Tribolium castaneum: one gene and its partner. The protein of the gene in region 2 purifies or fractionates together with the protein of the main gene of each other region. This does not show direct contact. Links are inferred from orthologs where the notes say so. Each region holds a gene or a part of one and is shown on either strand. Other genes may lie near its edges.

What was found. The genes of interacting proteins can lie anywhere in the genome.
Region 1: the proteins of SF2 (region 2) and U2af50 purify together in Homo sapiens (affinity purification with mass spectrometry; 4 studies listed by BioGRID and IntAct, counting the BioPlex papers as one, with this or other methods). This does not show direct contact. The link is inferred for Tribolium castaneum from reciprocal best matches to the Homo sapiens genes SRSF1 and U2AF2.

The regions. Positions count from the first base shown.
Region 1 is NC_087399.1:6,082,700-6,087,627, forward strand, and holds the start of U2af50 (splicing factor U2AF 50 kDa subunit), read left to right. Parts: upstream 1-2,128; 5' UTR 2,129-2,285; coding exon 2,286-2,301; intron 2,302-2,355; coding exon 2,356-2,494; intron 2,495-2,537; coding exon 2,538-2,947; intron 2,948-4,928. Other genes in the region: low density lipoprotein receptor adapter protein 1, read right to left, coding at 293-338. UniProt on the Homo sapiens protein: Plays a role in pre-mRNA splicing and 3'-end processing. By recruiting PRPF19 and the PRP19C/Prp19 complex/NTC/Nineteen complex to the RNA polymerase II C-terminal domain (CTD), and thereby pre-mRNA, may couple transcription to splicing.
Region 2 is NC_087401.1:8,587,519-8,593,209, forward strand, and holds the start of SF2 (serine/arginine-rich splicing factor 1A), read right to left. Parts: upstream 3,405-5,691; 5' UTR 3,316-3,404; coding exon 3,149-3,315; intron 3,103-3,148; coding exon 2,921-3,102; intron 1-2,920. UniProt on the Homo sapiens protein: Plays a role in preventing exon skipping, ensuring the accuracy of splicing and regulating alternative splicing.

The sequences.
Region 1 (4,928 bases), on a different chromosome or scaffold from region 2:
GTCTATCATTAAGGCGTTTTTTCCGCTCGGTAATTACAACCCAGACGGAGAATTTGCATTTTACTTTCTGCACCCGCATTGCATCATGCGTTTTAGGGGCTCACCTTCAAATGATGCAATAAAATTCATTAAGAAAAAAAATTGCCGCAAGATATGTGTTTCCCGAGCGGTACCGTGCGGTACCAGGATTCCGATAAATTTCCAAAAGTAAACAATCTCTTATTAATAATACTGCGATAACAGCTATTGTGACTTGTGTCCCAAAAAATGCGACAGAAATATTTTGACTTACTTTGGTGTTTGCCGTTGTTTTTCCAGATGCTTTTCAGGAAAGCCATTTCACAGACTCACTTATTGAAAAATAATATAAAAGCGCGTTCAAATCCGCGTCTTTACGAATCACAAGCTGATCGGTGAATGTCGGCCGGCTATCAAGCAAGCCATGAATCTCTTCATGGCAAGATATGATCTTTATATGTGGTGTACCCACTTTCCGCGAAATTACTTAATCTGAATTTTTTCAAAATAATTCTTCGTCTCAGCTCTTATCGCTGTTTGTCTTATTATACGGAATTATCGGACACGTTTCATGGAACCTGGTACCACTTAATATTTTTTAGCGATTTTCAATTATCTATAAGCGTGACATTCATCTAGTGGGCAGTGCGCTTGCATTTTCAAATTTTCAGTAATAAATAATGAAGTTACCATAAAAGCAGTCCAGTCTATACATAGTAATGCACAAGACTTCTATTAAGCTATTAAATAAAGTCAGATTTTTTTCAAGTAACTTTCTTATATATATTTGTTGTTTCTTAGGATGTCGAATTTAATTTATTGTCGAATTTACAAGTTTTTCATTGTTTTGGACATCATAAAGATATTAATTGTTATTTTTTTCAACAGCTATTTGTTTAAAAAAAAATATGATCTGAAGCACCAAAAAATTAACATAAAAAATTAACTTCGAGGAGCTATATCTCGTGAAAAAAAGCTTAAACATTTTTTTGCCATAGGAACTTTTAATTCAGTCTTTTCTCAACACTCGAGAGATTGTATGGTAGTTTTGAATCACCCTGTATTAAAACGGGGGGTACCACAGGGCAGTGTATTGGGTCCGATGCTGTTTTCGTTATATACCTTTGATCTTACTAATTATATAACTAACTGTAAAATTCACATGTATGCTAACGATATGCATTTGTATCTGACATTTCCATTCAATTATGACAAAACTATAAAGCTATATACAAAAAACACGGTGTAAATCTAAATGCAAACAACTGTCAGACGGCAATCTTTGATTGAAAATAATCAACAACTGAATTTATATAACCAAAAACTTACTAGGAAAAATTTAGTAATTTAATAGTGCTTTGATGAGCATGTACAGGCTGTTTCATATAATTTTACCATGACAGTAGTTGTCAGACTAATGACTGTTTAATGGATAGTCATATGTTTTTCACTAACAATTATCATGTGTTCTATCAAGTGACGTCATGAATATAATCCTAATTATTCCAATTTTTCAAAATTTGTAATCTAGTTCGTATTTTTAGTAGTTTAGGCATTTAGATTCATAAATAAAATTGAAACTGGTCACATCTCTAATGATGTGTGATTATTATCAAATTTTGTGCAAAAATGAAAGGGCCAATGGAAGATAGCATCTGCGAACTGTTCCCTTTTGTAAATGTATCATTATATTTAATAAAGTTTATTATTATTATTAAGTATTAATTGCCACCAGCTTGGTAACAAAGCAAAAGTTCACCGACATTTTTAGTGATACTGATAATACAAATTGTTTGTATTAATTTATCGCCGCTTTGAAAGTGTTTTTAGTCTTATTGTTACAAAATATGTTTTTCGGTTTGTTTACAATGTATGCACACACTAATCTAACAAAACGTGTTTTATTAATAGATCGATTGGTTCGGCTGAAGCCGGCCCTGTGGTAATTTTCCGAAAAACAGTCCGACTCTGTTTACGTCAATCAAGCAAAATATTTTTACCGCCGCACGACAATCGTACTTTTACAAACAATTAACAATAACAAGTTAAGCAAGACCGTAATTGTAAATAATTAATTAAATTAATCGTAATTCAAACGACACAGTTTGCGACATTACCGACAGGTACCCACAATCCCCTTGACATTAATTGACGCCATTTTGAACGTTTTGTGAGTTGTGTTAAAAACAAACCAAACATTTGAGTTAATTGACCCAAATTGTGCTTAATTTTTGTAAAATTTGACCTAATTGTGCTACTGTTCCACAATGGGGGAGGAAAAAGGTGAGTCCGGGCCCCACTTAACCGGCGAGTTTCACCCAATTCTAACCCCTCTAGACGGTAAAAACAACGAGCGGGAGCGGAGCCGGGAGCGCGGGGACCGCGAAAAGGACCGCCGACGGCGCTCCCGCTCCCGGGAGCACCGCCGGAGGTCGCGCTCCAGGTCCCGGGACCGCCGCCGGAAAAGCCGCTCAACGTGAGTATTTCGCCTTGGTTTCGTGGATTAATTGGGGGTTTAGGAGTCGCCATAAGAGCCACTCGCGGAGGCGCAAGCCCTCGCTGTACTGGGACGTGCCCCCGCCCGGGTTCGAGCACATCACCCCCTTGCAGTACAAAGCCATGCAGGCCGCGGGGCAGATCCCGGCCAACATCGTGGCGGATACGCCCCAAGCGGCTGTGCCTGTCGTCGGGTCGACTATTACGAGACAGGCGAGGCGGCTGTATGTGGGGAATATCCCCTTCGGGGTCACTGAGGAGGAGATGATGGAGTTCTTCAACCAGCAAATGCATCTCAGTGGCTTGGCGCAAGCTGCAGGGAATCCGGTGCTGGCGTGCCAGATTAATTTGGACAAGAATTTCGCCTTTTTGGAGTTTAGGTCGATTGATGAGACGACGCAAGCGATGGCTTTTGATGGGATTAATTTCAAAGGTGGGGTTGGCGTAATTAGTCCGGTCAAATAAGTCTTTATATCAAAATCTAGGGGATACAAGTATTGCAAAACGTAGTCAAAGAAGTGTTTTTTAAAGATTACTCAAATTCGGTACGAGTTAGAAAAAAAAATGTATTAAATGAAAATTATAAAGCATTTAATTTTACGCAAAAATGTTCTCTCGACTTTTTTTGATATTATTCAAATTAACAGAGCTTTGGGTGCTTAAATGTTAATGTACAATTTAAAAAAAAAACATCAAAAACACTTGATTGTTCTGTAGATTTTTCAGCTAAATTTGAATTTAGGGCACTTTGCACAAATTGTTAGATTTTATTTTAAGTTTTATGAACAAGGTCAGTAGACGTGATTTTTTTTTCGGAACCTAGTAGTAGTCAAACTGTTTGCAACCTACAATTACAGTCACATTTGTAAAATTTTAAATACGAACAGGAAAAGAAATACAAATCGATGACGGACGGGACAAAAAAAATTTCACATTTTTATTGATGAACAATCGTTATAAAATTCTGCTAATTTAAAGGCACTAATTGCAAGAATTATTTTTGAAGTAAAAGGTGGAACTTGTTGAAACTGAAACCACGAACCACGAAATTTTTTGTTTACACATAACTGTCGGCAGAAAAAAAATCTTGTGTGTGAAAATAAGTACAGAAAATTTAATCACATAGGTTTTAATTATTAAAGACTTTAACAATATCAAAGTATGTTAAATTTTATATGAGACGTTCACTCACGACAACAGCCAGTAACAAACTGAATAACATTAAATGCCGCAACAATAATCATTGTGTAAGATTATGGATAAAATGTCATCAACAAAAGTTATAATCTGTGAGATAACTAGTTGTTACAAGGTAGGAATAACGAGGTTTGTTTGATCCATTGGTTTTTGCTACTACTTTGTCACATTTTATGCTTTTGAGTAAATAATTTCAGACAAAACATTCATAATTTCGTATTCTAAAAATTAAGATAGCCACTTTTTTACGGAGAATTTAATAATAAAGACACCAGTGTTTTCTAAATTATTTATTTAAGTGTAATAATAATTAATAAGACAAATTGTATTAATACTGTGTGTACATATTTTAACTGGACACTGCAAAAAATTTAAGATTTTATTTTCAATTTTTTTAATAGTATCAGTAGAAAGTACAGCATCAACATTAAGTATTAACCGAATTGTGTATTTTGAAAGAAACTTTACTAAATTTATTTTGAAAATTTCGGTGTAGGGTTTTATTTTTGGAATGGCCGTTTAGCAAAAAAATTAAAAACCTAAAACTGGACAAATTGTGCGTTTACATCCTCATATCTTCCTTCTAAATAACGTTCTTACACAAGGCTGGGTTTTGATAAGAGAAAACTGAAAAAATGTACGTGCTGTGAAATTTTTGAGATGTGAGAAAGTTTTAATTTTTTTATTTTAAAACGCGAACCCTTACATAATCGAGATGAAAACACTTCAAATACATTTTTAGTTCAAGAATTATTTTGTTATTTGTAACACTCATCAAGTTATTGCAGTTTTCAATTACTGAAAAGTTCGAAGTGAAATCGCAGCGTATTTTCCTTTGAAACAAACATTTCGAGGGCTAATAAAAATGGAAACAAAAATTAATTAATGTCATCTCAAAAAATAGCTTGGAGTGGATTAATGTTTCGTAATTAGTTCTATTTCGTCACGTTTTTGGCTTTTTAAATAAGTTCCGGAGATATAAATGTTCTTTTGACTTCTTTAATATTAAAATTAACAATTAGGGCGGTTAAACGTAAAGTCATGATAACTGATAAGTATGTACAACTTTAATAAAGTCATGGTGAGTTGAAATTAATTTTCTAATTTTTTTAACAATAATTTTTGTAATAAAGGTATAATTTTTGTAATAATTGGTATAAATTTGGTATAAATCTAGCGGTGGACATAAAAGATTGGGACATTTAAAATTAAAAACA
Region 2 (5,691 bases):
AAATTTCCTATAAACATGTAGGTTTTCCTCAATATTTCAGAAACCGTTTCAGATAAAAATACAAAATTTGGTACAATTGATAACCTTCATACGCCTAATCGAATTTAAGGATCAAATGTAGGAATTTTTAATGAGAGGTGTCCCAAACTAGGGGCACCGTGTGGTCAGATACGAAATATCGACTAAGCTAAAGCTTAGTATTGGTTTAACTAACCGGTCGATGTTGGCCGCTTAAGCATTGGCTTATCGCTTAACATTTTTAATATTAACGTTATTAATATACATAACTTTATAATTTTATTGAAATCGTTAACAGATAAATTAAAGAAACCGAAGTAGCAATTTTAAACGCAAAAAAAATATGGTCAATTTTGTTCAAAATTATAAAAAAGATACTTGATTACGTTCGGTGAAAAAAATGGAACATGGGCCCAAATTGCTCGAAGATTTAATACAACAAAAGACACCCGTAGAGAGGCTGCTAATTACGAAAAATATATGACAATTAAAAAAATCATAAAATACGCAGACCAACAATGTTAGAAAAAACAGACTCATGAAGCGCCATATAGCCCATATACTACTTACTTTCACAAATGTGGAAAAAAATTGCTTTTAACAATAATGATGAAGAACTATTAAATTTCCGGATTCAAAAATGATGCACAGAAACAGTTTTTTTAAATAAATTTCGGTTCAGTTTGAATTAAACAAATAAACTTGAACAATGACAGTAATGAATAGACAACATGTAAGTTAATATATTATTATTATATTTAAAAAAAAACTAAAAAAAAAGTATAATGATAATAATTTACTTATTCTTATTTCAGTAACTTTTTTAATTGCTGCAGCAAAATCCGACAGTCAGGGGAATAATGTTGTTAGAATTATTGATACTAAGTAAATATTATGTGATTTTAATTACAGCATAGTTTTAAAAAGTGAGGACGCCCAAGTCTTCAAATGCACAAAAGCAACAAATAAACTGTGCAAATCAGTTTATTGCTGTGTTTTGAAAGAAAAGACAGAAAACGATAAATTGCTCTTTTTCAGAAGGAAGCATAAATATCATTATAACAATATTATTCCTACAATGTACCAAAATATTAACTTAACTTTTCAAAATCAGAACTGTTAAAATTTCGTCAAGCAACCTCATACTTGAAGTGCGCAAGCGTTCAGAACTACCAACCCCGTAAGTGACAAGTTCAGCGCGGTTTAGCTAAACTTTCCACTCAACAACACAACTACGGTTTAAACTTAGTTTAAATATAAACCGACCTCATGTAAGCGAAAGCTTCAGCTTGAACTGAGCAATCAGGCCTAACTATTTTGGTTTTAGTTTTCTGACAATTTAATAACAAAATAGTAAATTCCATAGTTTTTTCCATAAAAATGGTCTCTTGTGTTATTTCTATACAACTAACCGTTTCTTAATAAACAGTATGTTACAGACCATAAATAACATGAAAATCAGGGATGAACAGAAGGTTTCGCGACCAGAACCTGTCCCGAGGAAGAACGGACAAAACGTCGACATTTTCTTACAAATGCGGCCTAAGCCAAAAAGACGTAGATTTCAATTTGGTTCTAGTGGTCCGTTTTTTCTTAATTTCTGCCTCTGTTGTTTTACATACGACTTCAGATGTGCTGCAGGAGCAGTCATTTTACCAAAACACAAACTCCTGCAAAATATTAGCACACAACAGTCACAATCAACAACGCACGGTTTTGACATTTATATTTAACGTTTACCAACCCAAACGTAGGTCGTAGCGTTAATTGTATGCAGCAAAAGACTGACGAATCATTAGTCGAGACATTGCTTACGTCACAGCGCGAATTTTCTATTATTACTAAAAAAGTACCGATTTAAAAAAACTCAGACCGATATTACTAGACATCATTTTGTGTCTACTTTCAGAATCTACAATTTCCAAAAACTTTTATTTTCGAGTATAACACTTCATTGTTGGAGATATAACTTGTCAGCTTAAATCCCTATTTCCATAAAAGTGTCTGTTCCCTATACCTGACCCCCAATCTGGATTACAAGCTCTCACCGAAAAGCCGCCCCAATGCTTTTATTATGGGACAAATCTTCAATTCGATTGCAATTTCCGGCATTCCTAATTAAGTTACACGTTTGACGCAATGATATGATTTGTTCAGCTTTTTAAGACGCATCGATTGATATTATAAAAATTACTCAATCTGAGTGGTCCTTAAATTCCCATAAGAAATGTGCCTTCGTTTCTAAAATTGTCAAAAAACGAAAGCCAAAATAGTTGGGGTATTTTTTATCCTCCACCCCCCAATTTGGGACGTCCCTGATTACAAATATGTACATTTGGTGTTCGAATTCAATTAGACGTACAGAGATTATTATCTGTACCAAATTTTGTGTTTTTATATGCCATGGTTTCTGAAATATTGGGGAAATTAAATTACACTAAAAGGAACACCCCTTATGAAATATTCTTCGATACATGTTTGTAGGAAACTTTTCTCCTAAAATTGAGTGTGCTATCACCTGTTTAAAAGTTGTAACAATAAAAACGAACAGCCCATATGTTTTTACGAAAAGATAAGACAATTTTAAATGTATTTTCATGCTTTTTTTATTTTCGCTCTAATCTTATAGTTTACAAAAAAAAAACAAAAATGTAATAATAATAATAAATTATTGACGATTCAAGAAACGATGCAATGAAAACACAACCTCACAATTTAAAAAATCAAATCGTAGGTGGCAGCCACACATGCTAAAATACCCTTGTGTGTAATTTCGAAAAATTCTGTAAATAAAAACTAAATGACTTTCCTTTTAATCGCTTTTCCGACCTTTATTTCCTATTATATTTCGAATGATTTTCGCGATAAAAAACGAAAACACAAATCAAATTAACAAACCCACCTGTCACAAGCACTCTAAATTGCGACCTGCGAGCTGGTGGCCCCCTGGAGCTGCGTCCCCTGTCGCCGCCGCCGCGGCCACCCCTGAAGCTGCCATGGCCGCCGCCCCTCGGGAATTCCACCCGGAGGCGGTAGCCGTCGTAGTCGTAACCGTCCCGTGCATGTACGGCGTCGTCCGCGTCCCTAAATCAGCACACTGAGAGGGTTTCGAGGCCACATGGGGGCTTACCTGGGGTCCTCGAACTCGACGAAGGCGAAAGGAGGTCCCCGTCGGTTTTTCAAGTCGACGAATGTAACTTTGCCGAATTTGTAAAACAGGTCTTGGATGTCTTTGGTGCGGATGTCCGGGGGCAGATTCCCGACGTAGATTCGGCAGTCGTTGCGGCTGTTGGACATCGTTTCGTGTTGGAAAGTGGACGAAATCGGCGATAAACAAGAAGGAAAGATGGCGACGTGAGGGCGTTTGTGATGGCAGAGCCATCTGGACGGGGTGTGGCGCCAAATTCGAATGGAGGGTTGCAGTACAATACAGTGTGTTTACAGAAGAGTGTAGAAATGAGATAACTGCCAACACACTCAGGGAATTTTTATTTTTAAGAATTTTATTCAACTCCGAAGTATTGGTACGGGGTTTGAGGGTCACCGGAATAATTTCTCTGTTAAAATAAAATTTAATTGTACATTAATTTCATTTGCCTCTATTAGCTGTTTCAAAACTATAAAAACGCCAACGTCGCATTTTATCGAATTATTTTTTTAAATACTATTGATAAAATTGTAAAATAGTTATTAATGATTAGATCTCTCATTGAAAGTATAAATTACACTAGTTATTATTTTTTTGAAGTGCATGAATAATTTATAGAGGTTGTTCCATATCTGGTGGCGAACTGACAGTGACATAAAAATACATGGGCGTGCATTTTTTTTCTGTAAAGTTTACTTAGTTCTCATTTTAACATTAATAAATTTTGAGAACGGAGAAAGGTAGAAATATCACTATTAATTATTATTAATAATTTGTTTATTATTTTTCACAGTACTTAATTACCACAATTTTTTAAATACTAACAGTGGATTTGACAGACATTGTATAACGACGCCTATGGTCATTTTTTTTTCAATAGTAAATGTTTACCTATGTATGTTTAATGCCAAAATTCACTCATTTTTGGAATAAACTCTAACAGCTAATTTTGAGAGAAAATGCGACGTTGGCGTTTTTATTGTTCTGAAACAGCAATACTTTAGTTTGATCAAAATTTGAATTTGAATTTAACCCGAAATCGTTTTGAGCAAGTTCAATTTGTGTTTTGTGGAGGCGTTCAAAACTAGATGAAGAGCTAAAAGTTTTACATTTTTTTGTGAAGTTATGATAGTTCTAACGTTTAATTTAACCCTAAGAATAGGTAAAGAGATCATTTACCGAATCATATCGTAAATTTTTAGTGGAAGTACTTATTAAAACAAAAAACTGTACCAACACTAAGTAGTAATTACATAACAAACGCATAAATAAACTGTTTTTACCAAACTGCACACACTAAGACCTATTCTGTAATTTTATTAAAGGACTGTTAAAATTTGACACATTTCAAAAAATAGCAAACCTAGCAATTTTGTTGATTATCGTTGTACCAACAACTAAAGCTCCTTAAATTAAAAACAATTAAAACAGTTTTAAAGCCGGTTTACAGAAAGTGAAATTAAGATCTAATTTAGAATTAAACTAATTCGAATTAAGTTGCCATTTAAATGTAAAATGCATTGACAAATGTCAAGTTAATCGTGATTAAAATGTAATTGCAATTAAAATGTTCTGTAAACCGGCTCCTAGTTTTTCGTACAGAATAAGGCTCAGTGTTGTTTATAGGATTTATTTTAAAAGTGAAGTTTCTAGAAATTAAAATATAGTCATATCATAATAGAGACGTTCAACGCGAACACGAAAACTGGGTGAAATTGAGCTCTATACAATACTCCGATACTGGATACGCCCGAACATACGCTTATAGTCAAGTCGGCGTCGTCGGCGTTGTCATGGCAACGAAACAAAATACGCATGCGAAAGTATGGAATATTTTAATTTGGAAAAAAATTGAATGTGTTATGACGTGTTTAATGTACTTTTTACTGTAAATTTAGTTTATTAGAATTTATTAAATATTTCTGTGTGTAAGTATAGATTTTAGGTGAAATGCCACTTCACGTATTTCCCCAGGCGAGCCGCCACTGCCCTGGACTACAATTACTGAAATAATTAATTCATTGTCATGATTAGAACTTACAACGAAGCACAAGGTAATAATTGCAATTGTTGTAGTCGAAGCAACAATTCACAAACAATGCAAATTGAATGATTTTCTGTTACAATGTGAATTATAACTTATATCATCCCCTTTAAGTTTCAATCCCAAGACCGTAAACACCCTGAATAATCAAACCTTTATTATTTTAATATTTCGCGACCTGAGAACAATCAAGTTCTAACTGCATTTCCATTGCAAACGCAATCAACAGTACAAGGAAAATAGACCAGTGGCATATTTTTAGTAATACATGACCCAATGGTTCGTAATCAATCTATAACTTTTTTGCTATTTGAAATAATGTCATACCGATTTCATTATCCGATAGATCGACTTAAGTCCACAAATTAATAATATTGTTATTATACTTAGGGTGTTGTTTACAGGGTGGTGAACCAGAGTTTATTTTTCTAAATGGAACATCCTATAAATTTTTGCATAATTGGATTCTACACAAAAAAAA